4 linked regions of the Drosophila melanogaster genome follow. The protein of the gene in region 1 interacts with the protein of each later gene in a pairwise test. Each region holds a gene or a part of one and is shown on either strand. Other genes may lie near its edges. The genes, in order: Sap47, Rrp4, Cyt-c-p and Mitofilin.

Evidence for each region.
Region 2: the proteins of Sap47 (region 1) and Rrp4 interact in a two-hybrid assay, tested with the Drosophila melanogaster proteins (one large-scale study listed by BioGRID).
Region 3: the proteins of Sap47 (region 1) and Cyt-c-p interact in a two-hybrid assay, tested with the Drosophila melanogaster proteins (one large-scale study listed by BioGRID).
Region 4: the proteins of Sap47 (region 1) and Mitofilin interact in a two-hybrid assay, tested with the Drosophila melanogaster proteins (one large-scale study listed by BioGRID).

What each region holds. Positions count from the first base shown.
Region 1 is NT_033777.3:15,933,263-15,938,141, forward strand, and holds the start of Sap47 (Synapse-associated protein 47kD), read left to right. Parts: upstream 1-1,856; 5' UTR 1,857-2,322; exon of another isoform or gene 2,323-2,568; 5' UTR 2,569-2,863; coding exon 2,864-3,078; intron 3,079-4,879. Other genes in the region: CG5478 (uncharacterized protein), read right to left, coding at 1-424; blp (black pearl), read left to right, coding at 890-1,052, 1,113-1,375.
Region 2 is NT_033778.4:23,554,482-23,557,998, reverse strand, and holds Rrp4 (Rrp4), read left to right. Parts: upstream 1-1,781; 5' UTR 1,782-1,860; coding exon 1,861-2,307; intron 2,308-2,370; coding exon 2,371-2,820; 3' UTR 2,821-2,981; downstream 2,982-3,517. Other genes in the region: ItgaPS5 (integrin alphaPS5 subunit), read right to left, coding at 1-73, 135-975, 1,074-1,243.
Region 3 is NT_033779.5:16,718,243-16,723,179, reverse strand, and holds Cyt-c-p (cytochrome c proximal), read right to left. Parts: upstream 3,249-4,937; 5' UTR 3,204-3,248; intron 1,172-3,203; 5' UTR 1,131-1,171; coding exon 804-1,130; 3' UTR 536-803; downstream 1-535. Other genes in the region: Cyt-c-d (cytochrome c distal), read right to left, coding at 3,728-4,045. UniProt on the Drosophila melanogaster protein: Electron carrier protein. The oxidized form of the cytochrome c heme group can accept an electron from the heme group of the cytochrome c1 subunit of cytochrome reductase.
Region 4 is NT_033777.3:22,019,206-22,025,074, forward strand, and holds Mitofilin (mitofilin), read right to left. Parts: upstream 3,870-5,869; 5' UTR 3,727-3,869; coding exon 3,682-3,726; intron 3,425-3,681; coding exon 3,195-3,424; intron 3,062-3,194; coding exon 2,588-3,061; intron 2,528-2,587; coding exon 2,379-2,527; intron 2,316-2,378; coding exon 1,620-2,315; intron 1,518-1,619; coding exon 1,497-1,517; intron 1,404-1,496; coding exon 1,245-1,403; intron 1,188-1,244; coding exon 899-1,187; intron 833-898; coding exon 655-832; 3' UTR 528-654; downstream 1-527. Other genes in the region: mRpL35 (mitochondrial ribosomal protein L35), read left to right, coding at 4,403-4,427, 4,492-5,003; CG6028 (uncharacterized protein), read right to left, coding at 5,161-5,649, 5,721-5,848. UniProt on the Drosophila melanogaster protein: Component of the MICOS complex, a large protein complex of the mitochondrial inner membrane that plays crucial roles in the maintenance of crista junctions, inner membrane architecture, and formation of contact sites to the outer membrane.

The sequences.
Region 1 (4,879 bases):
CACAGTTCTTTTTCTGATGCGGAACTGAGTACTTGATGAACTGGCGTTCGTTGCCCTTCGGTGGTTCAGGAGTCTCCTTGCACGGCTTGGGCACCAACCGCTCCGACACCTCCATCAGTCGCACCTGCTCATCCAAACTGCTCAAGGGCAGCTTTCGCATTATGCGGCGCAGCTGCTTGCGCTTTTTGGGCGTGAGCAGGTGGTGGTGCTTCTGAAAGCGCTCCACTCCGCGGTGCAAGTTCTCCATCATCTTTACCCAAACGTCCATGCTCCTGCTCTCCGCCTCGATTTCATTCTGGAGTCGTACGCGCTTTGAGCGAAAATGCCGTATTTGTCGTTGTAGCGACTTCGTCTGATTCTGATCATTCAAATGCTCGCGGACCAGACGGTCGTAGTCCTTTTTCCAGTTCGGTTCCTGAATCATTGGCTTAACTAGGGAATTTCGAATTTTTAAAAACGATAACTGACAAATGCTATCGATGACAAAGTAGTCGTGGTAAAAATATTTAAATAATTGGTTTTAAAAATATTTCGATTCTCGATGATATAGCTATTATATATATCGATAGCTAATTATGAAAGCCGTGTACCATCTCCAATCAGCTGTTTCACCTGCTTTTCGCCGCCTGCTCGTTAGTAAATATCTGGAGTAAAAGCTAAAATTTACCTGGTAGCTCAATACAATTATAAATCACATTCGAAATTAAGTGTTAAAAGTTACGTATGCATTTTTTTAGAAGGACGCCTTTTAAATAGTACAATTGGAACACGGAGGGTCACTACGGTGTTGCGTAATTAAAGCGACACGTTTTCTGAGACCCAAAATTAAGCTGTACACATAGAATGCCGGTGTTTTGACGTACGAATCCAAGGAATACAAGAAACCGTCATGGCCAAGTATATCGCCCAGATCATCGTGTTGGGCGCCCAGGCAGTGGGAAGAGCCTTTACCAAGGCGCTGCGCCAGGAGATCGCCGCATCTCAGGAAGCAGCACGACGGGCGGGTGGTGGCAAGCAGGGCGACAAGAGCGCCGAGTCCAACCTGCGCACAGGTGAGTCTTGGACACAGTCATGCTATCTATTTCACTATTTACACCTACTTATCAATGCAGGCATGACGCTGGAGGAAGCCAAGCAGATCCTGAATATAGATGACCCCAAAAACGTGGACGCTATCACCAAGAACTACGAGCATCTGTTTCAAGTCAACGAACGCTCCAAAGGCGGCTCCTTCTATATCCAGTCAAAGGTTTTCCGGGCGAAAGAGCGGCTGGACCATGAGATTAAGGCCCATGAGCAGCCGAGGTCGTCAAATACGGAAGCAGCGCAAGATACGGCGGAGGAGTCTCAGAGCAGATCGCGGCAGCGACGCTGAGTATCCTTGTTGTCCCAATCGAACTAATTAGCTGATAATTGATTTAAAAACTACGTGTTAAGTACAAAAAATGAAAGTCTGTTGCTGTAAATAGAGATTTACGAACATGAAGACAAGTGTAAACACTTTCTGAGAAGAGCTCGACTTTCCAGGAACACAAATGTAATGGAATTCTTGTAAACTAACACGGATTAGCTCAGGCGGTTAGGTATAAATATTTTACTCTCAGGCCAGGTAACTAGAATCGGATCGATTTTAAGATCACGCTTCTTGGGGTTTGAAAATAAAAATATTTTAAGTATCAACAAAGTTCCATGTCTTGATCTAGCTATAGCTAAAATTATGCTGATGTAAATAAACTAATGCTGCAATGGGCTTCCAAACTTTCGCAATAGGAACTTGGAAATTTTAAAATCAGCTGTTGCAGAAGCCAGAGATGCGCGAACATATCGGTAGAGCTATCGACCGACAGCAGTCAGCTGTTCGATGGGCAGCACTGGCCGAGAACAAACCGAAAATAATCATTACTGGTGCGCAGTTGTTGTTTCCATAGACGTGTCAATTGTTTGTCTAATTGCGCCAGCAGCAGCAAAACGACGCCAAAGCACACATGCGCATTCCAGCGCACAAATATCCCACCCACGAAAATCGCAATACCATCGCCCCAGCAACGCGGAGGAGGGGGTGGACTCCACTTTTCCAGGGAGAAAGCGAACGTACGCATACGAGAATCCGAATCTGAGAATCCCCAATCCCCGAGTCCAAGAGAGCGAAGACGACACTCCAGCTCGGTATTTGAGACATCGACATTCCGCTGCTCCGTCAGTTTTCAGAGGACCTTCGAAGTGGGCAGCCGAAAATCCAAAAGTCTCCTGGCAGCGAACGGAAAACCAAAGAGAAAAAAAATAAGAAAAGCAAAATCCAGTTGGCAGAGAAAAGCTCAAGTGGTAATTGGCTGCGACTCAAATTACTTTAGTTGTGCAAATAGCGAATAGCTATAAACCCAAAAAGAAAAGAAACTCGAGCGTGGCGTGTGTCCATGTGGAAAATCGATCGAATCGCAGAGTATTTATCGTGTAATTGTGCCCAATAGCCACGCAATTCCCAGTCCGTTTTATTGATTTTCCCCACCGCCTCGCCAAGTAGCAATAAAAACCATTCTTTTACCTTCCATCTCGGCCATCTGGACAAAGCAATTGCAGCGTGAAAAATTCAAATTTCAAGTTAAATGCGAGAATTTACATAACGCCGAGCGTTGAAAGTGAAACTTCTGTGGTGCGAACGAAACACTGAAAGAAAGGAAAACCCATTACAGGACATTCTATCTGCCTCTGCCCAGTGTAGTAAAAGTTGGAGAGCCAGGAGCGGGAGAGCAGTGGAAAACCGTGAGAACCGCGAGAACAAGAGAGCCTAGAGAGCGTTGAACGTGCGCACGTCTTCCTGGTCAGGACACACCACCAATCCTTGAGAGAAACAGCAGGAGCCAACATGTTTTCGGGCCTAACAAATCAATTCACCTCGCTGGTGGGCGCCGTTAAAGGAGGCGCTGGCGACGAGGATGTGCCCGCGCCCACAGGAGATGCGCCCGCAGCCGCTCCAGCAGCATCCACATCCGTGGAGGCCACGGCCTCCTCCGCCGTGGACCCGGAGGCAGCTGCCGCAGCCGGTGGCGAAGGACTCGAGGGCGAGGAAGCTGGCAAAAGGTAAGTGTGAATCGAACAATGCGCGCTGGGTAATCCTTCGGCCCATCTTTCTAGTCTTCCGTGACTGTGACTCCGAAATCCAGACTTCAGTCGACCTGACATGGCGTGCCAATGTGACCTTGCTATTTGTACCTTTTAACATTTCGCTCCGTGGAGTTCCTACCCTCCAGCAATCGCTCCTTTACGGTACATTCATCATTGTTTTGACACACTCCGCTTATCCTGCATTTTACGTTGCATTCCGCACGCTCTCACGTGACTGAACATAATTGCTTAAACTGGAATCCAAATGCCCGATAATTTCACTCCCATATATATCCTATATGGCTCCGCTTCCTTGCGAAGCTAGTCGACTGACTTTCCTGAACATTTCTGGCTAGCAATTTCGATTTGAAAATGCCAGGCCAATTTGTGGTTTAAATGGATTTCGTTTGATTATTCTTGAAATGGCAAATCGCATTGTGAAGACTGTATTTCTTTTTAATTGTTGAAATATTTGAATCGTTATAGAATATAGCATAAATCAGTCTTCAAAAGAGTCTCTCAGCTTGGCATATATGTATTACTTAGTATGGTAGACTGTCAGTAGTGTAATTCTCCAAGCGAATTTATTTGCCCTAATTTTGTTGACCAAAGGAAATTCCTTGAACTGTCAGCAAACGGAAAAGAGCAACTCCATGCTTACTAACTTCCGACTGGTTTCTTTTCTTTTACTTCCCTCAAACTGAGTGGATAGGACTGCCCTATTTCTTTTCGACCTCGCCGTATCATTTGACCTCGTCCTTCGCGCTTCTTCTGGGTACTTCATCAATCTCTAGCAGGCATTCCACACCCTAGTTATGTTGAGTTTGCTTTATCCCACAAGAGTGTTACTGCCGTTTCAGCCTTCATTTCCTCGAAATAAATGAAAGTAAATTCCAATTATTCGGCTGATATTTTGGACAAGTTAAGACCGCTGTGATGGCCCGTTAATGCCACAAGTTGCTGGCTAATCCGGAAGATCAGCCAAAGTCAACTAACGTTGTTTTTCACTTAATTCAGCTCATTAATATTTAATTGTGCGAGTGTGCGCTGGATGCCAGGATGTCAATCCGGGGCACGTTTTTCCAACCAGCTGCCAACAGCTGGTGTCGTCGTGGTCGTCGTCGTCGTTGTTGTCTTTGAAACCCAAGTCCGTGATGTGTCACGCCTTTTCAACGGGCCGCCGTTCTCCTTCTGCCCCGCAAGTCCTTTCACTATCAATTGACATTGACGAGTTGGACCACCTTCGTGTTGTTCTTTGTATCTCGTCTTTATTTTACTCTTTTTGTTTTCTGTACGTTCCAATGAAAATAATTTGCACGTGGCTCCTGCATAACCACAAAATGTTGAGTCATTCGAGCTGGCGGCGCCCTCGTCCGCTTTCACCACTCGTACACTCTGGTTTTTTGACCATCTTGCTGTGTGCGAAATACTGTCACCAATGCCGATGGGTAGAGGTGGAGCATTCGGAAGGGGGCTGGCTCGGAGGCAGGATGTGTTCCTTTTGGTGGTTGCTTTCCAGTTTCCAGTTGACTTTTGCTCGTTTTGCGGATCGATACGAGAGAGCCGTGCGAAAGGACGCTCTATGCTTCTCTCTGCGAAATGTGCACATGTGATGAGGCCACAACGAGTAGAAACGACGATGGCGCCCGCTCTAGAGGATTTGCTACTCCACGACCCGACCCGCCCCCTTGTTGTCCTTTTGTCAGCCTATTTAATAATTGTGCATTCAGAAAACGTGTGTGCTGGCTTGTTGCCTGTCTTTACGCCTGTGCCTGTG
Region 2 (3,517 bases), on another chromosome or scaffold:
CTTTAGAAAGCGAACTTCCGAAACGGGCACCACTGCTCAATGGCAAGCGAATTATCTTTTTCTCGAATTTAAACTGAAGCGGGAAATAGAAGCAGTCTGACTAATGGCGATTATAGGGAATTCGGTTAACTCACCAATCCCTTGTTGATGAACACGTATATGGCACCCACGTCATAGGAATCCCCTAGAGCGTTGAGTGGCGCGGATACGACCACATCCGTTAGTCCATCGCCATTGAGATCTTCCGCCACCACGGAGTAACCGAAGTACTCGCCCAACTGCTCGCCGTGAAACACATGCAGCTTACGGACTATCTCTCCCACAACGTCGAAAATGTATGCCTTGCCGGTATTCAGGACAGAGCTCGGCGCGGTGGTCACGTAGAGCAGACTGGTCCGGTTATTGCTGCTAAAGTATCCGGAGCTCAGGGCGTAACCGACGTATGTGAAGTGATTCTTTACCCAATCCCACGAATCGAGCATCTTGACTGCATAGCTTCCCTGGGCAGCCAAATCTTCTCCGCGGTGCACTAACACCGATCCCTTCCAGCTACGGACTCCCGGGGCGCCGATCAGGAACCCCGAGTTGTCGTCCGTCACATGGGCACTGAGCCCCAGCTCCAGCATGAAATGTTCTTCTGCTTGCGAAGGGATTAGACTGATAGTCCTCACGTCGCTCAGCGGAGGAGTGTCTGCCACTGTGTCCCGAACCCAGTAGCAAATTCCTCTCATTTGGCCATAGTTCTTGTTCTTCGGCACGAAAAACCGAGGTGCGCACACGAGCAGCTTGTCCGTATCCTTGGTGCCGCCATCCATAGAGCCGCCCAGCCACTGGAATTGCTTATTTAGCTTGTCGTTTAGGACGTAATGCGAGCAGGATCCACTGGCCAGGGGGCATCTGTAGACAGCTCCAGTCTCATTAATGCTGCCTTGCGATTCCAAGGTGGACTGAGCACGCGGAGCTCCCACGAAGATGCTGCATTGATCACGAAGTTTTTTGTTAGAAGGAACTTCATGGAATTTCAAGTGCAATCACAGTCTGGGATCGATAGCTTCCCTAGGATAAGATCTCACCTGGTTGGACGGATGACGAGCGAGTATCCAAAGTAGGAGCTTCGCACTTGGATCATTCGGGTTTTTAGGTGCTTTGGAGCATCTATCACTCGATTCGGCAATGGCGAAAAGTTCATTGCATTGCTCTGGTATTTGAGAGCCAAAAAAATTAGGAACAGAAGCCGATGCATTTTCTACTTCAAGTTTTTAGTCTTATTCTAGAAAATATTATTCCGGATGGGAATGTGCCTGCGAGCTCTGAGGCAATCCAACTGAAACAAGATGATGAATGTTTCAGAAGTCTAATGGAGCTTAGCTAACTTAAAGAAGACAGATAACTTATCATTGAAATGCCAGAGCAATTATTTCAAAGCTGTTCTTTAAAATTATAATTTGTATGCTGCTTATCTAAGGACAAACTCAAAAATGCTTTCGACATATATATTATACACATTAACAATAAATGTTATTTCATAAAACTAAGGAAACTAAAAACGTGATTTTAACAGTTTTTTTTAATCCCCTTTACTTTTATTTTATTTCGATTGTATGTATTTTTTGTTAGGCAATAGAATTTGCAAGTCTTCGTTACATTTACTTTCGAATTTCAACAAAATTGGTTTTTAAAATTGCAATTCGCCGCAACCGATAGGCACTGTAGTTGCGGCGAAGAAATGGAACTTGAACCGGAACCAGCAACGAACCCCGAACCCGAACCGGTTCCGCGTGGCGCGTGTTTTGCCAGCTGTTGCTCTTTTTGCCTCGCTCAAAATTAAATTTTTGTTTACCTCGCTTTGGCCAAACTGAGATGTCCACCAACGCGGCGATAGATCTGGCCCTGGACCGGGTGGACTGGCGCGACCTGGCCGCGCAGACGGAGGAACAGCCGAGGGTGTATACGCCGGGGGAAGTGCTGATGCCGGAGGCGGGATTCATGCGCGGCCACGGAACCTTCGTCGAGGACGAGAACATCAAGTCCTCGGTGGCCGGGGTGATCCAGAAGGTCAACAAGCTGATCTCGGTGCGCCCGCTTAAGAGTCGCTATGTGGGCGAGATCGGGGACGTGGTGGTGGCCCGCGTCAGCGAGGTGCAACAGAAGCGCTGGCGAGTGGACACCAATTCCCGGCTCGACTCCATCCTACTGCTCTCCTCGGTGAATCTGCCAGGCGGAGAACTACGACGGAGATCGGCGGAGGACGAGCAGATGATGCGACGATACTTGGACGAGGGCGATCTCATCTCTGCCGAGGTCCAGGTGGGTACTTCCTAACTTGCTGGTACTGGAGTAACTATATAATCTTTCTTCTCTGGCCACCAGAACATCTTTGAGGAGGGCTCCCTTTCGCTGTACACGCGCAGTTTGAAGTATGGAAAACTATCGCAGGGCATCCTGGTCAAGGTGTTCCCCGCTCTCGTCAAGCGCCGCAAGATGCACTTCCACAACCTGCCCTGCGGCGCCTCCGTGATCCTGGGCAACAATGGCTACATCTGGATATCGCCGACCAAGGGCCAGGAGGAGGAAGGCGGCGAGGGAGGATTCGCTCAGAACCTGAACGAGCATGTGCCGCGCGCGGATCGGGAGGTGATCGCCCGGCTGAGGAACTCCATCCTCGCGCTGGCCAAGTGCAAGCTGATGATTTACGACACCAGCATCCAGTACGCCTACGAGGAGTCCCTGCGCTACGAGGCCCACGAGCTGCTCCAGCAGAACGCCATCTACGACATCGGCCAGCAGACGCAGGCTCGTCTGAGGGACGCGGACGAGTAGTATATATGCATATACATATATTTTATACACAAGTAGCTTAAATAGAGGTTAATGTATTTTCTACCGTCAAATGAAAAATTAACATTTCAATGGGTTCGAAATTGGTGGATTTCAAAATTGCATCAGTGGGCTAAAATCTTAAATACACTGAAAACTATCGCAAGCTTTCTGTTTAATAAAAATGTTCATTTGATATTTCCTGAATTTGTATGATAAATGTTGGTTTCCTAATAAAAAGTCAGGTTTTCTAAAATACACAAACTCTTTAAAAAAGAAAACATTTATTGCATATAAGTTAGGTTTTATTGGCGTTTAAAAAATACATACATTTTCATAGCACTTTAGTTTTAGTTAAAAGTTTCGACTTAAAATTACTTTTAGTTAAAAAGCAGCTAAAATATCGATATTTTACCAGGACGCGCACCGAGTGGCAGCACACATTAGCGATCCGGCAACGCCCTGGCGGTTTGTGCAAATGAAAAGTGATTCTGCCTGGATGATAAAGGGACTCGGCATAAATTTTTTATTTTTATGTCATCCCATATTAGTGTGACGTTGTATTTGTGACAAATACTTGATTGTGTAAAATAAAAACAAAAAGTTTCGCTAGCAAAATTCACACAGAAACATCGATATCTGCATAGTGCACATCTCTAAGCGACGCCAAGCGATTGTTTTCCTCTCATTTGTAATCTGT
Region 3 (4,937 bases), on another chromosome or scaffold:
GGGAGTGTAAAAGAAAATATACATAAATTAGCCAAAAAATATAAAAATACCAGTGTATTCTTGTTTAACGATTGGCCAAATAGAATGTGCATTAAGAGAGCATTTCGACCCTAATAGTTTTCTACTTTCTCTCTCAGTAATACAATCTTATTGTGATGTTTCTGCGTAACGTATCGACTCTTTCTTTGTTGGATGTTTTTAGTGATGTCTACCTCCACGCAATGAACTAAGGAATTTGCAGCAACCCAGGATGATTTGTGGTCATCTTTGTGCGACTCAGATGAGTAAGGCCTATATAGATCAGCCAACAACATTTTTGACAGACGCAAAGAGTATGCTGCAGTCGAGTTTGACGACTAACAGATACCTATTGATAGAAATTGCCAGGACAATTGTTTTATAAATATGATTGGTATCTCTTATTTTTAATTTGAGTTGCCCGAGTCAAAAATCTGAAGAAGCTTTTTTTATTCTTTTTGACCTGCGAGCTACAAAAACCAGGTCCTCGCATAAAACAGATTTTATATCATTTTTTAGTTCTTTTTTTATTATTTAACTTTTTTGTGGATGTCACAATTCTCATCGGGTTTGAATTAAATATTCCACTTTTTATTTAAATTAAATAATAAATTGTCCTATTTAAACTTTATAATTAACATAATTGTAGTTCTTTAGGTCTGTACTATGTTGATTTGTAGTTGTAGTTGTTGCTGCTGCTGCATTTGCGTGCCGGACTGTGACTGAACACAATAATACAGTTTGACATCCTGCAGTGGTTGTGGGTAAGTTGATGGACAGCACCATTACTTGGTCGCCGACTTCAGGTAGGCGATCAGATCGCCGCGCTCGTTGGGCTTCTTCAGACCGGCGAAGATCATCTTGGTGCCGGGGATGTACTTCTTGGGGTTCTCCAGGTACTCGAACAGGGTGTCCTCGTTCCAGGTGATGCCCTTGGCCTTGTTGGCGTCCGTGTACGCGAATCCGGCCGCCTGTCCGGTCTTGCGACCGATCAGACCATGCAGATTGGGTCCAACCTTGTGCTTGCCACCAGCCTCAACGGTGTGGCACTGGGCGCAGCGCTGCACGAACAGCTTCTTTCCCTTCTCAACATCACCAGCAGGAACGCCCATTATGGATTATGTGGTTAATTAATGTGTTAACACGGACTCGACTGTAAAAAGAAATGTTTGTTATTAATGAGTGGTTCATAAAACAAGGGTAACCAATATATCTGTTATCTTACATCTTAGGTTTGAAAAACTTAAAAAACTGGCTACTAAATGGTTCAAAGTTCATAACTGCTACCAATTAATTTGTTCTATTCTGATAAATTGATTACAATATATATTTTATATCATTTGCTTATGTACTTAGTCCGAAATTCTGGTTTCACTGCAAAAAATAGTTATACGATATTTGATACCATTTATTATTAGCCCCAATGAACCATTGTGTAGATACTGATAAAAGCTTCACTTTCAGCCATACATTATCAAAAGATTATTGAATAAATAAACCCGAAATTTAAAATTTATTAACCAGTTGATTTCCCAACGTTACTTATATAATATTATATATTTTTAAGGTATTAAAATAATAACGTCTTTATATCATCAAAAATTTCCATGCTTGGGAAATAATGGGTTAATGTAGGTAGTTATGGACCGTGAATTAATATTTGTCCCCTTGCCCCGTTATGTAAACAATTGATAAGCTCCCTGCGGAAACGGAATTATTAAAATTGCTCATGCTAAGTGCATTAGTCGGCTGTTGTTTCTGATAAGGCCCGAAATTATTATCTAACGTAGTCTGCATTTCCATTTGCGGCCACCCCCTTTTTAACCCACATACTTTGCTCTCACTAATACGCGCGTGGAGGGCGTCGCAACGTCATCAGAAACACACTTTGAAAAAGCTTCAGACGCTGGTCACATGTTGCCCCCACACTCTTTCTCTCCTTCTCACACTCTCTTTGTGTCTCACTCGCTTATATTTGCCAGTCGCCGATTAATTGCGTCAGAACTGCTCAGCAACAGGCGGAAAACTTCCAGGAAGCATCATAATACGAAAAACGTTAGTTGTTTACATAACTATTCTATTATTCCAGGGTCTGTGTTACGGTCATCCTGCTAATTGCCGGATTATAAATTGCATGCAGCAATTTGAACTTGAGAGTGCAAAGTACCGTTGCGGTGAGTAATTCACCTACACATCACGCACATAGACTGAGAGAAATTCGATTAGCTGAAGCTCTTTCAATTCTAGAAAACTAATTTTATTTTATATGCATTTGTCTATAAAAACAAACCTAATATATATAGACTATTGATTTTGTGCGCTTTTACACATAATTTGCATTTAATATCAACCTTTTTTTCACTTCTTTCTGTGTAGAGTATCATGCACTTTGGCAGTGAGAGGTGGCAAAGCAACAACAATGTCAACATCCGATTTGGCCTTGTTGAGTATTTTTCAGTTAATTGCCGTGCGTGAGTGTGCGTGAGATGAAGGGAAAGTGCAATTGGAAAATTGGAAGCAGGCCAAAGGCAGCTGTGTTTTTCCTTGTGTGGGTGAGCAAGGTGGTGAGAACAAAGAGATGAGTGAAAATTGGGCCAACATCCAAGTTTCCTGAGAGCAGCGAATGTTACATAAGCCGCCTTTTCGCAGAGGTGAATTCTCTTTTATTTATATTATAGAAAACTGCACATCGCAGAAAGCAAAACCTGCTTAGCAACCACGTGGCGCGCTTAAAGACTCCAAAGCTGAAGCATTGACAAAAAATCCAAGAATTAATTTTTGCCACTGAGCGAGCGAGACAGCTGATGATCGGGTACGCCACTCTCTTTGCTCATGTAATCGACTCTCTCCGGGGCTTTTTTCAATGGCAATGTGACTTTGGGATGCTATTTTTACTATTAATACACCACTGCTAATATTTGCTAAATAAACTATTAAATATCTAATAAAAAATCACACTTATACACACACACACAAGGACACGTTTATGTAACCTGAATCATCCCCCAAAGAATACGTTAAATTTGCATGCGAATCATTTTCAGAACAAAACACAGCTGCTGGATGTTACGTAAATGACACGGAAGTGTTTCTAATCTTTATCTGACTTGGGGCTTGATAATCAATAACTATTCAAGGTAATATTTACGTCACTTGAAAATACAAAAATTCCACCCACTACTTACATTGAACACAAACGTCGAGCGTCGCCGATTTTTCACGAATGACGAGCGCGCGTTATGTCGATAGGTAATTAGTGTGACCAGAGTGACCGGGGGCCACGCATTAAAAAATGTCGCAAGCTTTTGTACCCGTATTTATCCACCACACGGCGTATAAGTAATTTTTTCCCCTATTAACGGGACTATATTGGAAAGCCTCTGGAAAATTTGCATTATTTAACAAGCTTCTCCAATTTATTACATTTTGCTAGTAGGACCATAAAACCAACTGTGACCAAAGCTGATTGGTACAACACTTTCCTCCACCCGCGTCGCACACAACTTGAATTAAGAAGAGGGTTTTTGGTTTATCAACTTTAATTGGCTAAAGTGAAAGTAAACCTTTTTGAAATGTATTTGAGCTCGACCATTCCCAATCAAAGTTTCGAAATCCAAGTGAAATACGTCATCTTTTGAATATGTTTGTAGTCTTTAAGCGCAGTTTTCTGGATAGCATGGTGGCCGATCTTGTTGTTTCGCAGGCGATTCTACTTGTTTGACTTGAGGAAGGCAATCAAATCGGCCCGCTCCTCAGCCTTTTTAAGACCTGCGAACACCATCTTTGTTCCGGGAATGTATTTCTTCGGGTCCTTGAGGTACTCGTCCAAATTCCCCTCTGTCCAGGTAACGCCCTTCTTTATATTGGCATCGGTATACTTGTATCCCGCTGCTGTGCCACACTTGCGACCCACGACCCCGCCAAGATTTGGGCCCACCTTGTGTTTGCCGCCCACTTCGTAGGTGTGGCACTGGGCGCACTTCTGCACAAATATCTTCTTGCCGTTCTCTGCATCACCAGAACCCATCTTGGAAGCCTGAAAGACAAATAGGGAAAAATGATATTTATGATTTAGAATTCAACTTTTTATGCAGCTTTTATTTCTATATTTTTTAATTTTTTGTTATTTGTTTTTTGTTAATTTGGATCAAATAGAAATTGGTTGATTCCGAAACTATCATGAAAAAGAAAAGTGTAGAACTAAAAATTTGATAGAAAAGAAAAACAGATTCAATTTGTTTCAGTGTCCTAAAAAACCGTTTGAAAAGTGCAAGTCCTGGACAACTGAGAGAGAGAGAGAGAGCGTTTCTCTTGGTCACTCTCTTGGCTGCACAGCGATAGACAGAGACAGCTGCTAATGCACGAAAGCAAAACAAAATTGGGTCAGAAAAATAGGAAAAACGAAAATTAAATCAAAATGGGTATTAAATGAAAAGCAAACAAGCAGCTCGAGAACTTGTCGGCACTTCTAATGGGAAAAGCAACCGAAAGGTAATTCAATTAGCAGACACATTCGGCTTGCCACCCCCTTTCCCAACCAATTCGTTGACTAGCAGATGCACATGTGCTTTGAACATTTCCTTTCAATTAAAACGCATTTTACGCACTCTCCGCTTTCGCCCCCTGCCTTCCCCTCTCTCAACCATTTTCCTGTGGCAAAAACAGATGCCACCGCATAACAAAACCAAAAAAAAAAAAAACAAAGCAGAGGGAAATGAATAACGGGAAAGAGACATGGAACCATGCCGCATACAACGGTCACACAGGGATGATATTCACCTGCAATTTAAAATTTAAAGGATCAATTGAAAATATTAACTATGTTTATCTCAACCAATTATCTTAAAATTAAATTTGTTTTAAATTTACAAGAGTGCATTATGATATTTTTCAGAGAATGATATTATTTATATATTTAT
Region 4 (5,869 bases), 6.1 Mb from region 1:
GGCTGGCGATAGCCGCCCACGAAACTGGCGCGTCCAGTGCTGGCTAACGACCAACTATCGCGATTTTGGCGTTCGAAAATTAGTAACGAACATATACGATTATTTAAGGAATAAATTTGGCGGCAACCGCATAGTAACCTGTTTTTGAATACATTTGCCTTGCCTACCATGCTTTCTTTTCAGAACAGAGAAATTAAATTTAGCCAATGCATTTTATTTGAATTTTGACATTCAGCATACTTTTTAGTCAACTTATTTATTATATTAATTTTTTTCGCTAAATTAAACAACAAGTGGATGTTCTTTATGTTTATTTATGGCCTAATCACATTGTTCTTCAGAAACACAAAGCTTGCCAATTTCAGCTTTAGTAATATATCATATTCCATTCATGCCTTGGTATCGAATTTTTTACAAATCTTCCCAGAGTATTTATGTTTTGGATTTTATAATGATGGTTTCTATGTTTAATTTGTATAATTGAAGCTAAACAAAATGTTACAAATATATGTATATAAGTGCTATTTCGTTTCAACTGTGATCGCTAATTGGACAAATTACATATTGTTGGTAATCGTACCATCTTCTCCTGGACTAATAACAAATAGTAAGTGTATCATCTTGTTTCTGAAGGAAGGGGACACGGGACGTAGTCTACAAATACAATAGTCCGCTGGCAGCGGCGTGAGCCATCAAGGTGTTGGCCGCCTGCTGAGTCTCCAGCATGAGGCGAGCCTCCTTCATCCACTCGCCGGCAATCTTGCGCGATGCACCCTGCAGCAGATTCATGTACTTGAGCGCCTGCAGAAAGTCGCTGCGATCCACATGGTACCTGTGAAACATAATATATATAATATATATTATATAACTCTAGTGATAGATGAATCAATCGCCTCACCTGGCCCTGTTTAGGATATCGTAGGTGTCCAGTTTGCTATAGTCGAAGGGTTTGTTCTCGAGTTCGTCCTTGGATATGGGATTATCGGGTCGCAAGATGAACAGCGATTGCAGATAGGACAGGAAGTAGATGGGCAGGCCGGCTCCTTCCTCGGGCACCAAAGCCAATCGTCGCGCCACGCGCTCCACATTCAGGAAACGCTCGCGCAATGCATCTTCTGGATAGACACCGCGCTCCTGAGCCTCCTTCGGGACGCTTTCCAGCACAGCGGCCACCAGGTCGTCACCCTCTGTAAGCATATGCATTTAGCAACTGAAATCGAAATGTGGGAAACGTTTCAACTTACTAGCCACCTTGGCAATGGCATTGATCTCGTTCTTTAACGGGCGCAACCTATCCTTATAGTGCACGCCAGGAGTGGCAGCGCGCACGGAGGCCCACAGAGCTTGGCAGGCGGCCCAAAGGGCCTGCGCCTGATTGGCAGTACGCTCTGCATCCGCACGCTCTGCAAAAATGTTGCATATAATGTCAATAAACATTTTGATTAAACCAAGAATAAGTTGGTATAAGTACTACCCTTCATATAGGGTGAATATACCTTGAAACTCATCCTCTATCTCTAATATAGCAGCATGTTTTGAAAAGGTTTGAAAACCATTATATATCTAGCCACGCTACACTAGCTACATTCAACCGATATCGTTTAAAACGTATAACTTACCTGCCAGAGCCGCGTCCATTCCGCGCAGCTTGCCGAGCATCCCGGCCAATTGTAACTTATAGTTGGCCTTTTCGGTCGCCAGCTTATCCTCAAGTTCACGCTTAAAGCTTCGCGTCAGATCGGTCTCCCGCTGCGCCACGATGTCCTTTATATGATCGGCGTGGGCCTCTGCTTGCTTTTTGAGCTGCAAGCGCAGCAGCTTATCAGACTCGGCGTGGATGTGGAAGATTTTCTTTTGATTTTCCACGGCCAGTTTGCGCCGCTCGGCCTCCAAATGGTATTCCAGTTGGGCGCGCAAAGCCTCCGAATCGTTGTCACCGCGAACCGAGTCAATAGCTCTCTTCAGGCGCAGCTCACCATCGGTTTGCAAGCGCTGCAGCTCCTTCTGGTAGGCCAGGACATGGGTGTAGGCGTGCAGGATGAACAAGTCTAGGTCCTCCTTTGACAGATTAAGTTTCTTATCCGCCAAACTGAGGCCGGGGAAGATAGACTCGATCTCGTCAATGAAGTAGTTTCGCGCCTTCTCCACATTCCGCCAGTACTTGTCTGACACGCTGGCCGTGTCCTTGTGCCGGTAAAGCTCGTCCTTTACGTTGCCAATGTGGTCCACAAGCTTCTTGATCTTGTCGCGCACTGCCTCTACTTTCTTTGCGTTTTGGGCCGTTGCCGCAGCACTCAGGGCGATCTCGCAGGCGACTGCAGTTGATAGAAGGGAATGTTACTGAAATTTGGAATCTATTTAACAAACAATGGACTTACCAATCTTCTCCTGAGCCTCACGGGCAGCTCGCTCTGCCGTAGCCACTGCCGTATCACGGGCACTTGCTCGATTTTTCAGCGTGGTCCAAAGAGAGTTCTCTCCATTCTCTACGGCCTTGTCTACAACCTTACGGACATCGTCATTAAAGCTGAACGATATTTGATTAAATTTAAAATCACGCAACGAATAGTTAACGAGAATTGCTCACCCTTTCAAAACGCCAATAGCGACGTTGTACTCCTTGACGGCCAGTTGAGCAGACAGCTCGATGGCTTTCTCCAGCTCAACAACATCGCGGGGCAGCGGATTATCCTTAGGCTTGGCAGCGGGCGCAGGCGCTGCTGCTGCTGCTGGCTTCGACACTGGCTTCGCTTCAGTCTTGCTGACTTCGCTTGGTTTTGAGGGTCTCTTTTCCTCAGCAGGAGTGGCCTTCACGGGCTCCACTTTGGACTTCTTGGACTTGTCATCGCCGCTGCCGCCGCCAAACAGGCCCGTCACCTTAGATGTAACGGAGTCCACCGTGGACGTCACTGTCTCGATGCCAGACTTGACCTTATCGATCTGATCGTTGACGTTCTTGGTGATGCCCTTGAATGGCGGTTCCTCCTGCAGAGCCACCTTGATGACGGATCCTGCGCCGGGTACATTCTTCTCCACCAATTTGCGGAAGTCGTCGTCGTATCTGGAAAAGGATTTCTACATTATTCGATGGTTCATTTAAGCATTTCAGGTGCAATAAAATGTGTACGAATTTTTGTTGATCTACAGGTGGACTGCCTATCCTTATCTTAAACCTCTATTGTGGCTCTATTTACTTGGCGTAGGTGATGACACCGCCGACAGCTGCCAGTGGTGAGACGAAGAGGACCACTTTGCCGAAGCCAGCTTCGCGCATATGCGGTGGCAGGCTCTGGTATCCTTGATATCCTTGATCGCCTTGCTGTCCCTGCTCCTCCTGCTGCCGCCTGCCCTGTTCCCGGCCGCCACTTCCGCTGCTGCTTCCGCCGAATTGCCTGTTGTTTGCGGTCGTCTGCTGCAGCGTACGCTGTTGCAATGAAAGGTAATACATTTAGGACCATCACATTTAAGGAAATTGGCAAGCCCGTTGATACCCCCGCGCCCTTGGTCAACTGGAATTTTGGAGCTTTTCGCCCAATTCCTGGGCTTGGTAGATGACATAACCAGCGCCTCTTGTTGTATTTTCGCCAACCGCTTGTTTGTGGGCGCGCGGGGGTGTGGGGCAACGTGACGATCGATTTTCACGTTATCAAATAGCTAGAAATGAATGGGTCAAAAATTCACCTGCAGGGCGCACTTGCACTGATCTCGCACCGCTAGCCGATACATGGTGTTGATTTTGCTGTGATCCTGCTCTGCTCGTGCTCCTGCTCCTTCGGCTACCGTAAATTTCAAGTCCCGGCGGCGTGAATTAAATATTGCCCAATTCGTTCGAAGCTGGCTCGACTGCGTCAGCGCTGGTGGGTGAATGGCTGGCCAGTGCTGCTGCTTCCTCTTCCATTCCCCACACTCCCACGCACACGCACACGAGTCCTGCGTGCTGCTCGTCGTCCTTTTCGTTTCGCTTGCCCGCGCCACTCGAATTTGATCACTCAATTTTGGTTTGTGTTTTGATGGAAAAAGTGTCGGCAACATATACGCATGTACTCGATAGGCCAGTCAAAATACATTTGATTTGGAGATGGGCGCATAAGTTTAAGCAACAATTTTTATAACAAGTTTTAAATTGTCAGAATTGTCAGTGTTCTACAAATGGATTACATGGTTAAGGGATCCTTTTGCCTTAATTGTTATCAACGAAAAATTGAACTTGATCCATTCCTTGGGTGAATCCCAAAACATTTGCGATAGTTCTTATGATGACCGGTTCCCATCTCCAATAGCAAGCTAATCTATGTTTGTTCGCTGTGAATGGCACACAGCTGACTGTTACGCGATTCGATAAGAAGAAGAGCACCTGCGTTTTGTATGGAATTATAGGTTTATCTTTGTCGTTTTAAGTGAAATGCTAAGAACTTTTGTGACAAGCGGTAAGTTGAAGTCAGCTAATAGGGCTTACAAGTTTACGTTACTTTAATTGTTCTTAACTTTCAGCGCTGCGAAGCGTTTGCCGCCAGTCGCCGGCTGCATCTTCGTTGGTTCCTCTGGTCCAGCGGACACAACGTGCCACTTTGATGACTCTATCCCGTCCGTGCCTGTTGCCCACGCCATCACTGGCATCTCCTGCTCATCACCAGCTCCTGCAGCTGCCGGGTGTGCTAGCAGCCACAGGAACACCATCAAACACACGCAACGTGACCAAATTCTCGCTGGTGAAGGGTAAACGAAAGACCGTCAAGGCGGTACTGAAACGTTTTAAGCGCCTGGACTGGGGCGCCTGGATACGCACCCATTCCGGTCGCCAAAAGAAGCTCTTCAAGAAATCCGCAGCTTTACGACGCCGCCTCAAGCAGCACGTCTTCACCAATGCCACGCAGAGCTGGCTGCTGGACAAGATGGTCACCAGCTATTGGCGGCGCCCAAAGCATTTCATCAACGATCCCTATAAGCCCTATCACAGCCGCAACGAGTACTACGCCACACAGTCAAAGACCTTTAAGGTGTGACCTGGCTAATCAAAGATACTACATACTTGAATTAAACAAAACCAAAATATCTGATTATAGTTTATCTATTGAAAACTACAAAATCATCTATTAAATGCCATTGTTTCACTAATAACACAAACTTTACAAACACAACAAGCCAAATGAGTTGACAATCTTAGGGAGCCACAATCTTGTTGCACAGCTTGCCCAATCCAACAATCTCCGACTGCACGACATCACCGGGCTGAAGGAATTCCGGCGGAGTGCGATGCATGCCCACGCCCTTGGGCGTTCCGGTGACTATGATGTCGCCGGGCAGCAGGGTAATGGTCTGCGACAGACGATTGATCACATCGTCCAGCTTGAAGATCAAGTTGCCGGTATTGCCGTTCTGCTTCTCCACGCCGTTGACCCAGGTTTTCAGATTCAAGTTGTAAACATCCGGCACCAGACTCTTGTGCACCACAGCCGGTCCCAGCGGCAGAAAAGTGTCCATCGACTTGCCCATAAGGAACTGACCACCGTTGCGTTCCTTCTGCCAGTCGCGGGCGGAGATATCCTGGGCCACCGAATACCCGAAGACATAGTCCATGGCCTGCGATTTGGGCACCTGGCGGGCGACCTTGCCAATGACACAGACCAGCTCAACCTCCCAATCGATTTTCTGTGGAATTTTTTTTTGGTCGGTTGGTTATCTCGATGAGCCTATCTCTTGTTATCTCTTGCTTCACTTACGCTGCTGGCCGCATGAGCGATGACATTATCTTGAGGACCCACCAGGGCATTGTTAAACTTGCTAAAGAACAATGGTTCCTTGGGGGTCGGCTTGTTCTGCTCATCGCAGTGGTCCTGGTAGTTCAGACCTGCAAGCAGATCGAGAATAC